Drosophila melanogaster: one gene and its partner. The protein of the gene in region 2 interacts with the protein of the main gene of each other region in a pairwise test. Each region holds a gene or a part of one and is shown on either strand. Other genes may lie near its edges. The genes, in order: U2af38 and U2af50.

What was found.
Region 1: the proteins of U2af50 (region 2) and U2af38 interact in binary tests that used the Drosophila melanogaster proteins (3 or more experiments, as listed by UniProt).

The regions. Positions count from the first base shown.
Region 1 is NT_033779.5:287,459-297,425, forward strand, and holds U2af38 (U2 small nuclear riboprotein auxiliary factor 38), read right to left. Parts: upstream 7,224-9,967; 5' UTR 7,027-7,223; coding exon 6,983-7,026; intron 6,915-6,982; coding exon 6,164-6,914; 3' UTR 5,545-6,163; downstream 1-5,544. Other genes in the region: amnionless, read right to left, coding at 1-1,461; CG11562 (uncharacterized protein), read left to right, coding at 5,111-5,202, 5,259-5,544; Stip1 (stress induced phosphoprotein 1), read left to right, coding at 7,814-7,822, 7,888-8,170, 8,246-9,353, 9,519-9,591. UniProt on the Drosophila melanogaster protein: Necessary for the splicing of pre-mRNA. Binds to the polypyrimidine tract of introns early during spliceosome assembly.
Region 2 is NC_004354.4:16,350,738-16,360,859, forward strand, and holds U2af50 (U2 small nuclear riboprotein auxiliary factor 50), read right to left. Parts: upstream 7,717-10,122; coding exon 7,671-7,716; intron 7,470-7,670; coding exon 6,906-7,469; intron 6,836-6,905; coding exon 6,747-6,835; intron 6,681-6,746; coding exon 6,558-6,680; intron 6,481-6,557; coding exon 6,019-6,480; 3' UTR 5,959-6,018; downstream 1-5,958. Other genes in the region: sl (small wing), read left to right, coding at 1-1,153, 1,512-1,992, 2,058-2,911, 2,979-4,049; PIG-Q (phosphatidylinositol glycan anchor biosynthesis class Q), read left to right, coding at 8,603-9,249, 9,313-9,421, 9,486-9,621, 9,683-9,827, 9,883-9,959, 10,026-10,122. UniProt on the Drosophila melanogaster protein: Necessary for the splicing of pre-mRNA. Binds to the polypyrimidine tract of introns early during spliceosome assembly.

The DNA of each region.
Region 1 (9,967 bases), on a different chromosome or scaffold from region 2:
CTCCTGTTCATCCACCACACTTCTGGCGTCCAGATCACCAGTCTCCATTTTGGGGACACTCAGGATTTCATCCTGCTCCTGCGACTCCTTGGCAGCCTCCTCCAAAGCTCCTCCCTGCTCAAACATCGGATTGTCAAAGGCTCGCTCCCTCACCTCGCCACTTTCCGGATCGTAAGCCATAATTCCCAGACGATCCACACCAGAAGCTCCTCCTTCACTGGATCCACCCTCTGCGCCACCATTGTCGAAGCGGTTAAACAGCAGATTCCGGCGCAGTCTCAATCCCAAGTGACGCCACCTCCAAAGACGGGGGTCGTGGATCCACTGTGGTATGCGGTTTAGGTAGGGGTTCTCAGGCATAAAGTGCGCCAAAATGACCACAGAAACCAGACCCACCAGTGCCATGCAGAAAAGGATGAGAACAATCGAGGAGAAGCTAACATTCGGATTATAGGGTCGACCAGAAACTTTTAACGTTGTTCCTGTCTTGTTCCAATTGTGTTCGTTTTGCTGTAGAAACTCCAAGCTCCGTTCACTATATTTATGGCGATCAGTTACCACCGCCTGCAGGCAGTTTCCAAACTTCTGGGAGCCCACAAACTCCACGTGTAGGCCGATCTGATCCTTCAGGCTCTCCTGGCTGATGAGGTTACTTATCTGGGCCACCAACTCCTTTCTACTGCCCTCGGTGCAGTGGGTCGTGGGCGTGGATAGAATGGCCCCGCAGATTAGGCAGCACGATCCCAAGGGTCGAACTGGAGACAAGCAGTGGGGCGTCTCGCACTGCTCCTGGACATTATGGCAAACGGGTTCCAGCAGTCGCTCGAAGTCCTTGTGGCAGCCACACAGCTCTCCTCTGTAGTACTCCACCTGGACGTACTCGGCATTGTAAAAGAGAAACTGGCCCAGATCTCTGCTGATAAGTTGCTCCAAGTACGTTTTGGAAATGGAAGAACCAGCCAGAATAAGCTGTCCCAGCCTCAGATACTGCACGTTTTCTAGGTCAAAGGCCAATGGTCCGTGCCCCTTGATTATGACCTGCTCGTCATCACAGGGAATCCTCTCCAGCTCTGGTGTGAATGTGGAAAATTCCTTAGATTTGTCCGTCCAGGTGCCAGGATCGAACCATTTACTCGACTTCGGTGGCTTCAAATAGGCCTTATTCTCATCGCTCTCACAGGAGGGCTGCTTATCAGATCCAAAGGTAATGGTGGATTCCTCTGCCAAAAGGATCGCCCCTTCTCTGGGGAAAACCAAGCCATCAATGGATATGTCCTCGGGCAAGGGCAGCAGAGCTGGGTAGTACTCTGGAAAAACGACCAAATCCTGTGCACAAGGCAAGTGGTCATCTAGCCAGGCGGTGGGATCATTGAAGTCCATTCCACCGCCATACCACTTGGTGGCCAGTGCCACATGGAGCCCCACCAATGCCCAGATCAGCCATTGCCAATGCAAACCCATCGTGGAAACTCAGTGAACTCTAAACTAAATCTGAAACGTTCGGAGAATTCCATTCGATGATGTTGCCTCTTATTTGGGGGCGGATAACAATCAGAATTGGAACCAACGAGAGCAAATAAACACAGGGGTGATGGACAGCAGATGTAAGGGAAATCAGGCTGATGGGGACAACTCATACCCTATCATTTTTGGGAACATGTTCTTATGTTACTTATAGTTACTTTTCAATGTTTATAAAAATATAAATGGAGTTTGTATATGTATATTGTGTTTGTAAATGACATTTGGAAAAGCATGGAATTCATGCTTTATATTCTCCACAAAGATTTTGCTTATATATATATATTTTTTTTTTATTCTAAACACAGCTAATCCTATTAGTGGATCGAAACCTAAATCTTTTCTTTAAATATATTTTACTAATAAATTGTTTCGAATCGAAGAGAATTTGGCAAAAAGCGTACACAGATAATTTCACGTTTGCTTCAACAATGCAATTGTTTGTCAGAACATAGTTAGTTTATTTGTATTTTGATTGCGCCGATATAAACAATTTCAGCACACCAGATTTTTAAGATGCCCAGAAGACCAGAAGAAAGGTAAAAATTCGACAACGAAAATAATGAACCGGATGGTAGTGGCACCGAAAAGTTCTCGTGATCGTTTCAAGGGACTACATAAAAGAAAAAGATCTGTAGATATAAAGCACTTTATGCTGACCAGATCAAAGTACTTTTTGCGGGACAGACGGCGTTAATCAAGGGCGAGCAAGGTCATGCAATAACAAACTAAGATGTTCCTGGAAAGACGCACGGAAATGGAAAGCCGTGGTGTGGAAATATGTACATATGTAAAAGCATCGTATCAAAAAAGAGCACAATTCCTTCTCTTGAATAAATGCAATTAATGCAAAAATATCTTCATTTCTGGGTCATATCTTAAAGAGATTGAGCAGAAATATTGTCAAGTTGAGAAAAATGTATGGAGATAACATCAGAAGTGGACTCGTTATATATATGTATGTATTTTATAGCCCATTTTAAAACCAGATTTGTGGCAGCATACATTTTTCTTCAATTACAAGTACAATTTCTCTTAAGTGACGTTAATTTCCTTATTTAATACATTTTTTCTTTTTTTTTCTGTGGGCCGAAATTCAAGACATATTTATTTACCCATTCGAAATGAAATTCGTTCACCAATTCAACAATGAAACATTCGCTTGTGCCAGTTGCCAAGGAGCTGCGAGAAAAATGCAATAATCCATCGATTTTCTAACAATTTAACGATATGTAAATGAGGCGTCAGAAGCACCGAATAGCAGAATACCAAATCGAAGCCAACTGCCACGTATGGCACATTTACATTGGCGCCCATCAGATAATCTCGCATTCGTCAAGAAGTGGAATCAAAAATCTGGAAAACCGCGAACATCTGAGCAAATAAACACTTGGGGCGAGAAAATGCCGAAAAACGCTTTCCCACACGGAATGTGCATTGCCATCAGGGAAAAGTGCAGCGCGAATGAGGAAATTCGGCGAGCACAGCTCCCGTATCTGGCGGATACTCCTCCGTATTCCACAGTTGTTGACCCCGCCTGGCCGATAAAAAGAGCGTGCAAGTAAGAGAAAATCGAAGGGGAAAGGGGGCGATCCCCAGCGAACAGACAAACAAATAAACAAACATATGGCACACATAAACCCGAACATCGGCATACGGGCCTAGAATATAAATAATTTTTCCTTCGCTGATTTTTCTGGTCTCGAGCTCAACACTTGAAACAACCGATGCTGGCCGCATTTCCGTCTTGTTTTTTAATTTCCCATAATTTCTCACATATGTATCTCTGTATCTTTGTGGCGCTTTCGATGGGCACGCCGTAAATTAACTTACCAGCGACCAGTAGGACAGCAATTTGATTTTCTGGGGCAGCGATTCGGGAACCAGGCGGCGATTGAGGCTCGTCTTCAGTTTGTAGCTCCTTTGGATCTCGAAGGAGCTGTAGTAGAGTCCATAGGCGAATTGGCCGAGTGCACACAGGTGTATGATTGTCACAAAGACGCGCGACTTGTATAGCTCAACTTTGGTCATCTTGTGGATTTTTCAAAGATCCTACACAGGAAAAGCCAAAGGAGACTTCACGTTACACGGGCAGAAAAATTTTGCAATATGTTCCTCAAGTTCTAATTCGCTACATTTCAGTGTTCCATATACAGTGCATAATTTAATTATATATCTAAATCAACAATTGTGAAATTTTCATGTAGTACAAAGTGCTAAGTATAAAACTTTTTTTTAGGCAAAGAAAGAAAGAAACCATTTAGAACTACTATCCCTTGATAAACTGAAAATAAATTTTTCTTCAATTTTAAAAGAAAAATTGGTGTATTGTTTTTGTCTGTGCTTTGCGGTGGGGCGAAAGAAGTGAATTAAAATCGTCGTCAAGGTGTTTTAGCTCTTGAGTCAAAACACCTCGCTTTCGTCAACTCAAAGCGCGCACAAATTTAAATCAATATTTGCGTCACCGACATAAATATTAATGGAACCTAAAGTTGGCCAGGAATATCTTGAAAAAATCTTGAAAATCTTGACCGCCCTGGAAGAAGATCCCCGTGGCTCTTGTTTATAAATCGGTTATGTTAATAACTTAATGGTTTTTATGGCCCTTAAAAACAATTGTTGATTGCCTTTCGTTTGATTTCCACACTCTGAACAAATCACCAGGTCCCCGGCACACGCACGCTAAGTATTTTCTTGATTTCTTTTTGGCTTCGCTCGGAGGAAGTGCTCGGCTGCGATTTTCCCTTGACCGCGGGCACAACTGAGCGTATGGAAAACTGGAGTCGCACTGTTGCCCATACGCCGTGTTGCCTCCTGCCTTTTGTACTCGTTTCCATTGTACTTGGCTGTTGCTTCTGTCTCTGCCTCGGTTTTGTGGTGTCGTTCCTCCAGTCGCTCGCATCAGGTGCGTGCTGCGCATGTCCGGACCACCGACCACGGAAGACGGACTCCGGGCTTCGCATTCCGGATTCGGGAGTGTGGGCTCCATTATGGGTTAATGATGGCCAATCACCTGAATGAATCGCCCCCACCCATTAAGATGTATGTTGCTTAGTGAGTAACCAGATGAGTCGAAACAATGCAGGCATAACTAAAAAGATATCTTTGCGGAGAGATAAGCATCTGCTTTTATTTTTAGGCACTGCGTCATAGCTGTAGATAAAAGTATAAAAAACCTAAATAAAAAGTCATTGATAAAGGCTAGAAGTTCTGTAGTACATATGTATGTAGATACTAGATACGGAAATCGCTATTATATACATCACTTCGAAATTGTATTTTCGTCTAAAGCTTCAAGTTTTCAATAGTCTGAGATTTTCTAACTGCAATTGGCTTTAGGACCCCCAAAAGTGTTGCGCTGATTTGAAGGGAATTAATTTGATTTTCCCGCGCACTAACTCTGGATAGGGAAAACTTTGCTTCCGTAAACTGGCCACTCTCTTGTCAGCTGTGTGGTGCTGTTGTTTTTCTTTCAAATTTAAAGTCATGTCGTAACCCGAACCGACTTCAAAACAACACAACCCGACAGCCAAATTCCTAGTGCAGGCATTTTAGGCGGAAATCTCCAGCGGCAGACCGGTGCCCAGTCATGTCGACCGCTTCGCGAGTGACTTTGGGACTGGCGGTCTCCATTTCCACAGCGATCATAGGTTATGTGCACTATAAACAATCGGCAGACCGGTAAGTAAGCCAAATACTCCGGAATAAAGTTATAGCCTCCGATCTCTAACTTCCAGCCTGAGACTGCACGATGGTGTCCTGAGGGACGTTGAGCAGCAACAACGGCGCAAACACGAGAATACCTACACGCTGCAGCAGCAAATAGACATGACCAAGCAACTGAAAGCCAGGGAGGCGTCTAGCAACTCCTCTGACACGCCCGTACCTCCATCGACGCATCGCGCACAGAGTAATCTTCAAGCGGAGAAGCCAGCAGTGCAAAATGAAGGCGAGGCTTTCAGAGGTGTTCCTCAGGGTGGAACGACTAATCACGATGGAAGCCCGCCAACTGACATAGCTTGATCACAAATATGCCCCTAAATATGCACCTATTAAAATCTAAGACTAAGTCGGGGAAAACAAGAATTTCGTTGTTCAAATGTACGCATTTTTGAAGATTTTAAGATTTCGTCTTAAGACAGTTGACAGCATCATTTACGCTGTTGATCGTTTTCAGTTGGTGAAGCCATCTGCGCATGGAAATATAATTAAAACAACGTGGTAAGATTCAATCTTACAAAGCGAAATAAGACTGCAGGCCTAACAAGGGGTGGTGTCTTCTGGATGTTATCCATACCTGTGAGGAGTCTTTTATTTTGAGTGCCTGGACTTTTTGACAATTAGACCCATTTCTTACTATGGCTTCCAGTATAATATTACTCAATTTTATTATTATGAATGTATGTATAGTAAATTACAATTCTAATGGGCGCTCGGTAAAATATTTCGCGGGGGGTTTGTACATAGGTGGTGGAACTCCCCATCGTCATTTTCCTCCTCCTCCTTCCATCTCGTTTACTCAAAAGTGATATAAAAACGTGGAAAACCAACGCAGAGACTAAAATACACGATGCTTTGCGTTACTGCTTGTCCGTTGCTTTCTCTCTCAATTGCCACCGTACAGAAAAAATGTCCAGAATATTTAATACCGTCCACCACCACCACCGCCTCCTCCGCCACCACCTTTGCGGCGATCGCGATCGTTTCCGCGATCATTGCCACGCATGTTGTCCCGCTCGTTGTTCAAGTAGTTTCCTCCGCCGACACCGTCGCCTCTGCCGCCTCCTCTTCGACCCGGGGATCGGGACCTGCTGCGGGAGCCGCGACGGCGTCCAGGGGATCGGGAACGGGAGCGGGCACGACGGCGGCGGGAGTAGAGGTACCTTCGCAGCTCACGCGAGATGGGCTTCAAGTGCATGAAGTTGCAGAAGCCGGAGCGGGTACATTCGCCCATCTCGTACTGCCGACAGCAAGCCTCGCGGAAGTCGGTCACCGGCGATAGTTCCGAGTACACCGGTCGACCACCGAACCACCGGTTGTTCAAATCGTTTGCCGCCTTTTCCGCATCAGCCTCGTTACGGAATTTGATGTACACATTGCCGACCAGATGGTCGCCTAGGTTGTCGCACACGTTCATCTCCTCGATTTCCCCGTACTTGTCCTCGCACTCTACGAACACGTCCTCGAAAAAATTGTCGTAGTGTTCTTGCATCTCCTCGTCGGAGACGTTGGCCACCAGATGGGAGCCATCCGCGGATTTGGCGGAGTTTTGGGGGTTCACGTATAGATTTTGGAGAAGCACCGTCTGCGAGAAAGTGGGTTTGTTGTGGATGCGAGAGCACCGGTCGCCGTGGCGGCAGGCGCCGATCTTGAAGTAGAACGAACAGTTCACCCTGGGAAATGCAACGCCATTTAGTTATTAATCCCGGCAACGTTAAAATAAATGTGCCATGCGACTTACTTGTCCTTTTCCGTGCCAAAAATGGATGCCAAGTACTCGGCCATGCTGGCGGCTTTACTGTGGTGTTGCTGTGGCCAAAATGTGTAACTTATCTACCCGCTTGTCTCTGCAACGCGGTCAAACTGCAATTATGTTAGCCGCCTGTTTATTTAGTGATAATTTTCAATTATTTTCGGAAACCGAAAAAAGCAGCGTCTGGTCGTATTTTGCACGGCGTTGCCAGCCTCGAATCTAGAGTTGCAAATAAAATCGATGATTAGTTATCGATATTTAGTGTTTTTGGCAGCATCGTTTTTCGATACCTCTGTTCTTAATTTAAATGTTTTAAAATATGCTAACATTTTAAATATTAATTTCAAATATTTAAATATTAATGCACTTAAAAGCCTGAGGACTTATTTTTCATTTGACTAGAAAAATTTTACAATTCAAAATAAGAAATTGAGAAAATTATTTACGCAAATAATAATATAATATAAACATAAATAAACAATACAATAAAATAACATTTAAATTCTATAAAGCTCAAGGTATTATTTATATTTGATCAACAATTTTTTTAATTTATATAAGCAATGGAAAAAATTATTTAAGAAGGCTTGCTGGTTTTGTTCCCCGCTTGAGAACGAGCTAAGTTCTAAACCGCAGTCTGGAAAAAGATTAAATTCAGTCGCAGAAGCATTGACAACCCTATCGATTGCTTCTAGAAAAGTCGGCATTTTTCGCATTTTCACCTGGCACGGCACATTTCGCAGCGTGTTTTATTAAAAAGTCGTACAAAAATACAGGAAAAACTGTAATTCGACAGCGCTATCCTCTCCCTTATCAGAAATGGACAAGGTAAGTGCCCGAGACAAAGGAAAGGCGTTGGCATTTCCAATCAAAAACCCTTGCGGTTTTCGCAGGTGAACGAACTCAAGGAAAAGGGTAACCAGGCGCTCAGTGCCGAGAAGTTCGACGAGGCGGTGGCGGCGTACACAGAGGCCATCGCTCTGGACGACCAGAACCATGTGCTCTACAGCAACCGTTCGGCGGCATTCGCCAAGGCTGGAAAGTTCCAGGAGGCGCTAGAAGATGCGGAGAAGACCATTCAGCTTAATCCCACCTGGCCTAAGGGTTACTCACGCAAAGGAGCTGCCGCTGCGGGTCTGAATGACTTTATGAAGGCCTTCGAAGCGTACAACGAGGGTAAGTTCAAACACAGCTCAGTTATATGCCATGAATCACCCGACCTAACCTCACTAACCTCGGTTACCGGCGCAGGTCTCAAGTACGATCCCACGAATGCTATACTCCTGCAAGGCCGCATGGAAACTACTGCCTCGGCTCTGAGCTTTATGCAATCGCAGGGGGATATACCCATGGACGTTGATCCCCAGCAGGCACGCAGCCGCAGGGCTCCATCGCCACCGCCGGCGAAACCGGCTGAGCCCCCAAAGCCCGCTGAACCTCGGGTAGAGGACATGACTGAGGAGCAGAAGAATAAGTACTTCGCGAGGAAGGAGAAGGAACTGGGCAACGCCGCCTACAAGAAAAAGGACTTTGAAACGGCCCTAAAACACTACCACGCTGCCATTGAACACGATCCCACGGATATCACGTTCTATAACAACATAGCTGCTGTTCACTTTGAGCGCAAGGAGTACGAGGAGTGCATCAAGCAGTGCGAGAAGGGCATTGAGGTGGGGCGCGAAAGCCGCGCCGACTTTAAGCTGATAGCTAAGTCCTTTGCTCGCATCGGTAACACCTATCGTAAGCTAGAGAACTACAAGCAGGCGAAGGTTTACTATGAGAAGGCCATGTCCGAGCATCGCACCCCTGAGATCAAGACCTCGCTGAGCGAGGTGGAAGCCAAAATCAAGGAGGAGGAGCGAATGGCCTACATCAATCCGGAGAAGGCCGAGGAAGAGAAGGAGCAGGGCAACCTTTTCTTTAAGAAGGGGGACTACAGCACCGCTGTAAAGCACTACACCGAGGCCATCAAGCGCAATCCGGATGATCCCAAACTCTATAGTAACCGCGCCGCCTGCTACACCAAGCTGGCCGCCTTTGATCTGGGCCTCAAGGACTGCGACACTTGCATCAAGCTAGACGAAAAGTTCATAAAGGGCTACATCCGCAAGGGCAAAATTCTACAGGGCATGCAGCAACAATCTAAGGCGCAAGCCGCTTACCAAAAGGCCCTGGAACTGGACCCCAACAACGCGGAGGCCATTGAAGGCTACCGTCAGTGTTCGATGAACTTCCAGCGCAATCCGCAGGAGGTCCTCAAAAACGCAATGTCCGACCCGGAGATTCAACAGATCTTAAAGGATCCGGCTATGCGTATGATCCTCGAGCAGATGCAAAGCGATCCCAATGCGGTCAAAGAGTAAGTACCCGTTTGGCTTTATTCGTTCGCTTTTTTGGGTTTCATTGGTAAAATCTAGAAATTAATAGCCCATTTGAAGTTAACAAGCAGACTTACGTTTCTTTGGTCTTATATATTATTAACAACCTGTATACTATATTTTAATTAACAACCTCTATATTTCAGACACTTGCAGAATCCTGCCATCGCCGATAAGATAATGAAACTGCTGGAGTCGGGCATCATTCAGATTCACTAGGCACTCCAGATCCACAAACGAACATCCTCATACAATCACTAACTCACACACAAACCCCATTGATAAACATTCAGGAGAGAACCATTACGCATTATTATGGCGTCTCTAAGCTGGTTAACCAATATATCGTTTTTGATGAAACGGGCCACAATTAATGCTAAACGTAATTACCTAAGAAATCACATCGCCTATTCGCAGAACGACGATAACTACCATTAACAGAAATTTAAACTAAAAGGAGAAAACAAAATCATTGATAAATGTCTGCCTAATTGATTTACGCAGACGGGTGGAGTAGGCTCCAAACGTCATGGTCCTTATTTTCTTACTACAATAAATATGCTGTAGCTTAGCTCTAAAATAAGTTTCTGTTTGT
Region 2 (10,122 bases):
GCTGCTCTGGGCAACGGTGGCCACACAAACGCCACGCACCGACTACGAGGGCGCCATACAGCTGCGGGAGATTCGCGAGATACGGGTGGGCAAGCACTCGAAGGAGTTTCGCCTGTTTGCCGACGACTGTCAGCGCTTCGAGTCCAGCAAGTGCTTTGTCATACTGCACGGCAATCACTTCAAGCTGAAGAGCTTCTCGGTGGTGGCTCTGTCGGAGATCGAGGCCGACAATTGGGTGCGGGGATTGCGTTACATGGTTAAGGACACACTGGGAGCACCCTATCCCTTGCAAATTGATCGCTGGCTGCGTCGCGAGTACTATCAAATCGAGAATGTTAACACGCATTCCGCCAAGGCCACGGAACAGTCGCCAGCCCAGGTGACCATTAAGGACTTTAAGCTCTTTTTGGCCGGAGTTAGCTGTAAGATGACCACCGGCAAGTTCATGGAGCACTTTACCGAGGATGTGCGGCGCAAGCACGATCTCAAGTTTGATGATTTCTCGCGGCTATATCAGAAGTTGCTGCTGCCCAACGGATTTGCCAGCGTCTTGTCCGGATCGGGAGTGGCCAACTTTCCCTATTCGGAGGACCAACAGGTGGTGCGACCGGCGGAGCTGAAGCAGTTCCTCGAGACGGAACAGCGCGATGTGAGCGCCAGTGAGATCAGTAGCGCAGCCATTGCCTCCTTCATTCGGGACTTTGTTCAGGACGTGGAACGTGATGTTCAGGAGCCGTATCTCACCTTCCCGGAGTTCGTCGACTTTCTGTTCTCCAAGCAAAACGACCTGTGGAACAGCAAGTACGACCAAGTGTTCATGGACATGAACCTGCCGTTGTCCTCCTACTGGATCGCATCGTCGCACAATACCTACCTGACGGGCGATCAGTTCTCCAGTGAATCCTCCTGCGAGGCCTACGCCCGCGCTCTTCGCATGGGCTGCCGTTGCATCGAGTTGGATTGTTGGAACGGGCCCGACAATCTGCCCTACATATTTCACGGCCACACCATTACCTCCAAGATCAAGTTCATGGATGTCATCAAGACGATTAAGGATCATGCGTTCACCAGTTCCGAGTATCCGGTAATATTGTCCATAGAGCAGAATTGCTCCCTGGAACAGCAGCGGAATATGGCGCAGGCCTTGATCGAGGTAAGTTGACCTAATCGAATCTATTAATAACAACAATTTATATATTCCATGCAAACAGGAGATCTGCATGTTTGCTTTTTGATTCATTCGCTGTAATAATGAGTTCTTTTATGGCTTTCTGTGAGATTGCCTAACTTAATATATAATTGAAATGGATTTTGTATATTTCGATAGTTGGGAATATGTATGACAATATGAAGAATTCGCTTTTTATTCGTTTGAATCTAATTATAAATGTAACAGAGCAATATTTTTAGTTACTTAGATTTCAAGACGATGGTAATTAGATATTTCTTGATGCTTTAAGTATTAATCGCATAAAAATCCATTGACTTATACCTTTTATGACCCATTACAGGTTTTCGGGGATATGCTGCTTACGCAACCTTGTGATCGAAACGAGCAGCACTTGCCATCGCCATACCAGTTGCGTCGCAAGATAATCCTGAAGCACAAGAAGTTGCCGCAGTTTGACGACATCGCGAATGGGATTTCTAGCACGGGTTCACTGGGCCATAGATCATCGTTGGGCGGAGCGGGCGGTGGAGCGCATGGGGAGAACGATGGCGAGAATGTGCGCAAGGTGTTCAAGGAGGGACTGCTCTACTTCAAGGATCCGGTCGATAAGTCCTGGAATCTTTATCAGTTCGTTCTGACCCATCAGGAGCTAATCTACTCCTCTGAGATCAACGAGTCACGCAACGGAAACTCCGAGGATGATGACTTTGGGCTTTCTTCGTCGTGCTCCCTAAACAGCAATATGCAGCAAAAGCAAAAGGATACCTCGGCCAACGATGAGCTGCACTTCGGCGAGAATTGGTTCCATGGGAAACTTGAAGGTGCGTTTATTGGTTGACATATATGCAGTATATTCCATTTGTTTCGTTAACAATTTGCATTTTAGGTGGCAGAAAGGAGGCTGATGATCTACTAAAGAAGTACAAACACTTTGGCGATGGTACATTTTTGGTTCGGGAATCGGCCACGTTTGTGGGAGACTATAGCCTTTCGTTCTGGCGACGTAATCGCCCGAATCATTGCCGCATCAAGTTAAAGCATGAAAATGGATCGATCAAGTACTATCTAGTGGAGAATTTTGTATTCGATTCACTGTACTCACTGATCGTTTATTATCGCAAGAATATGCTGCGTAGCTCAGAGTTTTCGATTATACTGAAAGAGCCAGTTCCGCAGCCGAAAAAGCACGAGGATCAGGAGTGGTTCCATCCGAACACCACCAAGGAGCAGGCCGAACAGGGTCTATACCGGCTGGAAATTGGTTCGTTTCTAGTGCGGCCATCGGTGCAGAGCATTAACGCTTTTGTCATTTCGTTCACAATCAATCGAAAGATCAAGCACTGTCGCATTATGCAGGAGGGACGCTTGTACGGCATCGATACAATGAACTTCGAGTCTCTGGTCTCGCTGATCAACTATTATACCCGAAATCCACTCTATCGCAATGTTAAGCTCAGCCATCCGGTGTCGCAGGAGCTGCTGCGTCAGGCGCTAGCGGAGGCGGCACAGGGTGATCATAGTGGCGGTCACGATGACAACGGTGCCTCCAACTACATGGGCTCCAATCTGGAGGAGAATGTCACGTGCAAGGCGCTCTACAGCTATAAGGCGAACAAGCCAGACGAACTCTCTTTTCCCAAGCATGCCATCATAACGAATGTCCAGAGGGACAACTCGATGTGGTGGATTGGAGATTATGGTGGCATGATCAAGAAGCATCTGCCGGCAAACTACGTTAAGGTGAGATGCATATATAGATTTATTTGAAATTCAACTATATTCAACTCTTGAAAATTCCAATGTCTAGGTTATCGATTCAACTACCGAGGACTACAATTCGCTGAACGAAGAGGGCACGGATGGACGCACCGATTCCATTGAGATTTTCGGAGCTGTTGCCTCGCTCTTTGAGTCCAACGATCCGGGGATTATTTTCAAGCTGCAGATACAAACGCCAACGATGCAGAATCCGTTTGTGATTGGCTTCGACAATCAGGAGACGGCGTACGAGTGGATAAAGGCAATCCAGGAGGCAGCCCTTATCGCCAGTCAGCTGGCATCGGAGAGGCGGAAAAAGGAGCGCACTGCCCGGGTGGCCAAGGAGATGTCCGATCTGATTATCTACTTCCGCAGCGTGCCGTTCCGCGAGCACTCGTGGATATTTCAGGAAATGTCGAGTTTCCCCGAAACGAAGGCCGAAAAGCAGTTCTTCCAGCAGAACACACAACTGTTTCTCTCCTACCATCGCAATCAGATTAGCCGAGTGTATCCGAAGGGTCAGCGCCTGGACTCGTCGAATTTTAATCCCATGCCATTCTGGAATGTTGGATCCCAGATGATCGCACTGAACTATCAGACAGGCGATAAGGCCATGCAGCTGAATCAGGCCAAGTTTCGGAATAATGGACAATGTGGCTATATCTTAAAGCCATCGTTCATGAAATCTGACAGCTTCAATCCGAACAATCCGCTGTGCGATGGCCTAAGCGAAGTTAAAGTTAGCATACGTCTGATAGCCGCACGTCATCTATTCCGGGGCGGCAAATCGAACAATCCGCAGATCGTGGTCGAATTGATTGGCGCTAGCTTTGATACGGGCGTTAAGTATCGCACCAAAGTCAATGAAAATGGTTTCAATCCGGTGTGGAATGAATCGTGCGAGTTTAACGTGCGTAATCCACAGTTTGCGATCCTTCGCTTCGAAGTGCAGGACGAGGATATGTTCGCCGAGACGCACTTCATCGCCCAGGCGTGCTATCCGCTGACCTGCATTCGCCAGGGCTATCGCAGCGTCATCCTACGAAATAAGTTCAGCGAGGAGCTGGAATTATCGTCCCTGCTGATCAACATTAAGATAGCAAATGTTACCGCACCGTAAGAGGATTGCTGAGTTAGCTGGATCAATATCAATGATTCCAAATCGAGTGTTTGCGAAAACAATTGCGCTAGATCAAAAGGAAAGCGAACTTAATTCGCAAAAGCAATTTATCAACAACTTGTACATAAGAACATTTCATCGAACTATGAACCTGATTCTCTCACTTGTAATTTGTCTAAAAAGCTTAGGATCTGAAACGTATGATTTAGATTTAGATTACTTTCTATACACATCAGCAGTTATGGTTAGTTCATACTATACAATGAGTATTCAAATGGTAACAATGAATTCTGAACTCCTGGAACTGAAATCAAGTTTATGTAATCCGTATAATTTGTACACTTTTCCATAACACTAAGCATTCAAGTCTGTTGTCCTCTAAATGTTGTATTTGTGCGTGAGATTGATTCAGGAGAATAGAATGATACGAATATGTTTTAACTATTCGTCACCTCATTATAAGCATAAGCAAACCAGATTTGATTTGATTTCGATTTAGGGAACTTGAGCTATTTCCATTTTACCAGTTTTACCATCAAAAGTTAAGTACATTAAGTTGATTCCAAAATTAGAAATAGAAACAATTCATAAACAGCTCAATTGGCATCAATTTAATGGGCATTTGATATTCAGTTTCAGGATCAGCTTTTCATAAGTATTATATTACAATCTTCTTAAAGACTTTTAACTGAAGAAAATAGACCACTTTCATATGTTATCTGGAAAACTATTTTAGACCTTTCTCTTAGCACAAATACTCAAACAGCATTTCAATCATTTAGCATTTACCTTTTTTATTTTCTCTTTTAAAGCTTAAAGTAATAATACAATTTATAAAAAAAAAAGGGCAAAGGAAATTTAAACCACTTTGATTACATATGTCTTCCAGTTGTTTAACAATTACGATATACCACATAATTGTGTCTATGTTATTTAACCACGATTGTTGTAGCTAATGTTACAAAAACTAAAAGTTTGCAAACAATATTAAAATAAAATGTAATTATTCAATTACATTTAAATGAACGTGCCTTAAAATTCGAAATGATCGAAATTTTAAATGTTTGAACGTTAACTATTGAAGTACACCTGTTGCTAAAATAACAAATATTTGAAAAATAATAATATAGCTCAAAGATATCTATTTTTTATAAAATCAAAGTTCTAACTTAGCTTCTTCTCTAAACTGCGAAATCTAAATATCTAAAGCCTAAGTTCAATAGACGTATTATTACTAAATGCATTATATAATTTATATATCTAGATATTCATAAAATGCACTAGTCGATTTAAGAAGTGGAAATTGTGCTCCCTATGCGAATCATTTAGGATTTTAATCTGAAACTATTTGCATTCCATACGAATGCCCCACTGAAACGATCGATATCATTTGTCTTGCACTCGCATTTAATTATTTAACAAACATTCTGCTGTTTCCATTCGCACAATAGTTCTAATTTGGACATTTTGCGCGTTTGAGCGCATTAGCAAATCATGCTTAGTATATATGTATGTGTATATGTACCCAAAATGTATTTCATTTGTACGTTCCGTTTTTAAGTGATTTGTATCTGTACGTCTAATAGATATTTTCAACTGTTTTTGTAATTGCCTTATAATTCAGTAAACACACACCATACGTATACATTCATAATTATTTAATGCCAAATAAATGTTTATCCGGCGTTAGCTGTCTATATATATACAAAGTTGTTTCTATATGTTGGATTTCTGAGAATTGAGGAAGCCACCGAATGAAGTAGTTATGTTATATACCCTTAAACTCACGTACAGTTTCAACCCATTAGAAGCATTTGGAGTTTTCGTTTCCAACTTCCGGCTCACAATGAAATAAGCGACTATCCCTTTCTATTTCATGGTATCTTCGTATTTTCGTAGTCAAAATTTTACTTTTATTCTGATATTTATTGGACAAATGGTGAATGTGAGATATATGATTTACTTGTATCTAAAACTCGCGTCTGTGGTATTTGTCGGGATCGAAATATGATGTGACCACAACGCGGTCGCTGAATTTACGTCCAGTAAGTGCTTGCTGCGCCTTCTGACAGTCGAGAACCGAGTTGAATTCGACAAAGACCTTGCCGCAACCGGGAACTTCGACGCCCTCGATGGGACGTGGAATTTCCACGCTCCGCACGACTCCGTATTTCGTGCACTCCTCCTTGATGTCCTCCAAGATGTCCTCGTACTCCTCCTCGTCCCGCAGTTCATCGGGCGTGACCATGTTGAGCAAGCAAAGAACCTCAGTCGGCGGTCCAGAGGTCACCACATTGGACAGGCCCGGCACTTGGAGCATTACGGACTGCGTGGTGTTGGCCGCGTTCTGGGCATTCTTGGCGCCCACACTGGCTCGTTGGACAATCAGTTTTTTGTCACCCAGCTGCATTCCATTTAGGCCAGCAATCGACTACAAATTTTATTAGGAATCGAAAGAGAGTTAGAGTTAAGATTGTGTTTGTTTGCAATTTTGAAGTAGTTTCGTACCTGATCTGTGATGCTAAGATCGACATATTCACAGAAAGCATAACCCTTACTCAACCCAGTAGCGGCATCCTTAACCAGGTTGAAGGCTCGTAGCTTGCCAAACGACAAAAGCAGTTCCTTAACCTACAGCAGCAGAAGATACAAATGTTTATGAGAATTCGAATGGAAACGTTTCAATGTTGAACCAACCTGATCGTCATTCAGATAGTTTGGTAGACCTCCGATGAAGATTTTGTGAGGCGAGTCCGGAACCACTGTCGAAATAACTCCACTGGAAACTGGAATGTGGAATGGTGGTTATTTGATTAGACCGTGTGCCAATGAAAATTAGGATATTTGTTTACTTACCAACAGCGGGCTTAATTGCCGGCGTATCTGTTATACCCGGCATGGGCTGGTAATCGTGCGGACGCCTAATCTTTAAGCTCTGCCCCTTCAAATTGATGCCATCGAATGCCATGGCCTGGGTGGTTTCATCAATCGATCGGAATTCGAGGAAAGCAAAGTTTTTGTCCAAGTTAATTTGGCATGCCAAGACGGGACTGCCGGCCGCCTGGGCGAGCCCAACTAAATGCATCTGTTGGTTGAAGAACTCCATCATTTCCTCCTCGGTGACGCCAAACGGAATGTTGCCAACGTACAGGCGACGCGCCTGTCGGGTAATTGTCGATCCGACCACGGGCACTGCCGTTTGTGGTGTATCCGGCACAACGCTTGCCGGGATTTGTCCGGACGCCTGCATGGCTTTGTATTGCATCGGGGTGATGTGCTCGAATCCCGGCGGCGGTACATCCCAATAAAGCGACGGCTTGCGCCTCGAGTTCCGGTGATGGCGTCGATCCCTGGAGCGTTCGCGATGGCGGTCCCGAGAGCGGGAACGATGTCGGCGTCTCTCGCGATCGCGTTCACGGTCTGCAAATACGATAGGAATTAAATATGTTGATTCTCCAATCGCTATTTTCGCAAATGTGTCCCGTCCCTGTCCACCTCACCCAGGAAGAGCACACAAATTTAGCCATACACACGGGCACACGCGCATATGTAAGCCATGAACAAGGACACATTTCGGTGTATGGTGTATGGTTAGAAGCATTTATGGTCATAAGAACTCGCCTTTATTGTCGATATTCACATATTTATCTTCAAAATTCATTTCCATCCCGAAATGCACTGTATTCTATTAAAAATAGACTCAAAACTCAACGTATGTACGTATGTATGAATGTATGAATGAGCGAAACATCGAAATAGAAAAAAAAACAACCGGTCTAGAATGAATGCGATTATTAACAAAACCCTAATTCAACAGACCTTTTTTACATATAAAAAAAAATGAAACAAGGAGCAGGCTGCGTTGCCGCGATAAACAAATTCAGTTGCACATTTTTCACTTTCTTTGCATACATTTATAGTTGTATGTATGTATGCATACATATATATACATAAACATCTATTTATGCACACTTGGGCATCAAATTCAGTGCGGCCCTTTACTTGCTCTCTTCATTGAACTCACCATCATATCCCATTCTTGTTGCTAAATAAAATTAATATTTCTTAACACGAAAACAATTTTAACTCTTTAAAATGCCGAAGAAAAATGTGTCCCTCTATTGCGTATATTAACGCAAATATAAAAGAAACGACTTAAAAAAGAACACGTGAAAACTGAGAAACAATGGAATGGACCACCGATAGCCGAGGGCTAACAGTGCGACACTGGCAGTTTCGAAGTGTCGTTGAACGATTTATCGACATAAATTTCACTTGTAGGGTGTCCATTACTGCAAAATATTTATATAAATTATTATACATAATCATACATAATAATATAATAATAATAATATACATACATACATAAAAATACACGCTTAAGCGACATCTGACATATACGATTCTGCAACTATTCTGTACTCCCTAGTTTGTTAATCAACAAACGGTGACGTCACACTCAATTGTATACCACCTTCTCAAGCATGCTGTATTTGTTTTGTTTTGATTGAGAGAAGAAATACCGGTGTTTTTGTCAGTTAATCGATTATATTATGAGCATTAAGATATATTTACCGGTCAACTATTATTACCTCAATAAGTCAACCAATTTGTACGGCCAAGTGCAAATAAATGAAGATAATGTCGTATCGTATTACGTGCTGGAAGCATCAGATTTGGAGTTCAGTGACAAGGCCATAAATCATGAAAAGGGCAATCTGCGTTTCCTGGGCTCTATTCTCAACGAGGATTTCAATGCGGACCAGAACCAATTTCTTAAGTTCAATATGCGATTGTGTTTCACATACAATAGCAGTCAGGCGAATATAACACTGGTTTATTTGGGCATTACGCCCGAATATCTGAAGCACATTAAAGTGATTCTCTACGACAAGCAAATGGTACGAAATCTGTTCGTATCTGGTGAATCTGAAAATAGGCGATCTTTGGAATACAATGATAATGATAGCACCGATTGCGACTTTCTGGAGCTCTCTAGACTGAATCAACCAACTGCTGACAACCAAAACAAGGCAAACAATAATGCCAACAAGAGTATCCAATATGGCTTAACACTCATTGCCGATTCTCCAATTAAGATATTCGAATATATGGCGGAAAATGTATTTATCAACAGCATTATGGTTCACACAACTATTTATAAGCATTTCAAGGAATGGCAGACAGCATGTGATAAAAGGTAGTTGGGTTAAATCGATGATGCTAAATATCATATTACTATTACTTAGTTTCTATCAAGCAGATCTCGACCGGCTAATATAGTTCTTGATAGAATACTGGGGATTATATTGATGCTAATACTATTTACGCTTGCCACACAGCCTGGTGATTTTCTAATACAAATATCTCATGTATGTCCGCCATACAAATTTGATTTTACATATGTGACATTAACTTATTGCTTATCTATTGTAGTACGTTATTGACGAATTGTACGGCCTGTTGAAAGTATTAGAGGGCAGTCCCATTGGCCTCAAGCTAAATATACATTTAAATAATTTCTTTCTCGACTGCTTCAAATATCATATTGAGCTGTGGTCAACATTTTTGGGTAAGCTTTTGGGTCTACTTAAATGCATGATAAGATTGATAACATTGTTCTCTTACTACAGATTTCATTGAACCTTTAGTACGACAAGTTTTCTTGGCCATTGGAATGATTGGATGCTTGGGTTTTACATTCCAGATAGCCTTACTAGTGGACTTAATATCCGTTATTGGCTTACATTCACATTGCTTCTATATTTATACCAAAGTGTAAGTTTCTGCAATATATATTGACCGCTTTCAAACAATAATATTATTTTCATAGCCTCTACAATGTGGAAAGAAGAGGTCTTTCTGTTCTATGGCAAGTGGTTCGAGGCAATCGTTACAACATTTTAAAAGGTATGTTTTAAGGTTTTTGCCAATCTAAGCACTATGTTAAGTTTTACCAATTCTTATACTTTTCAGGTCGCACTGAGTCCCACAACTATATGAATCGGCAATTATATCTAGCTACCATATTTTTCTCGGCTATTCTGTTTTTGTTACCCACTACCCTTGTCTA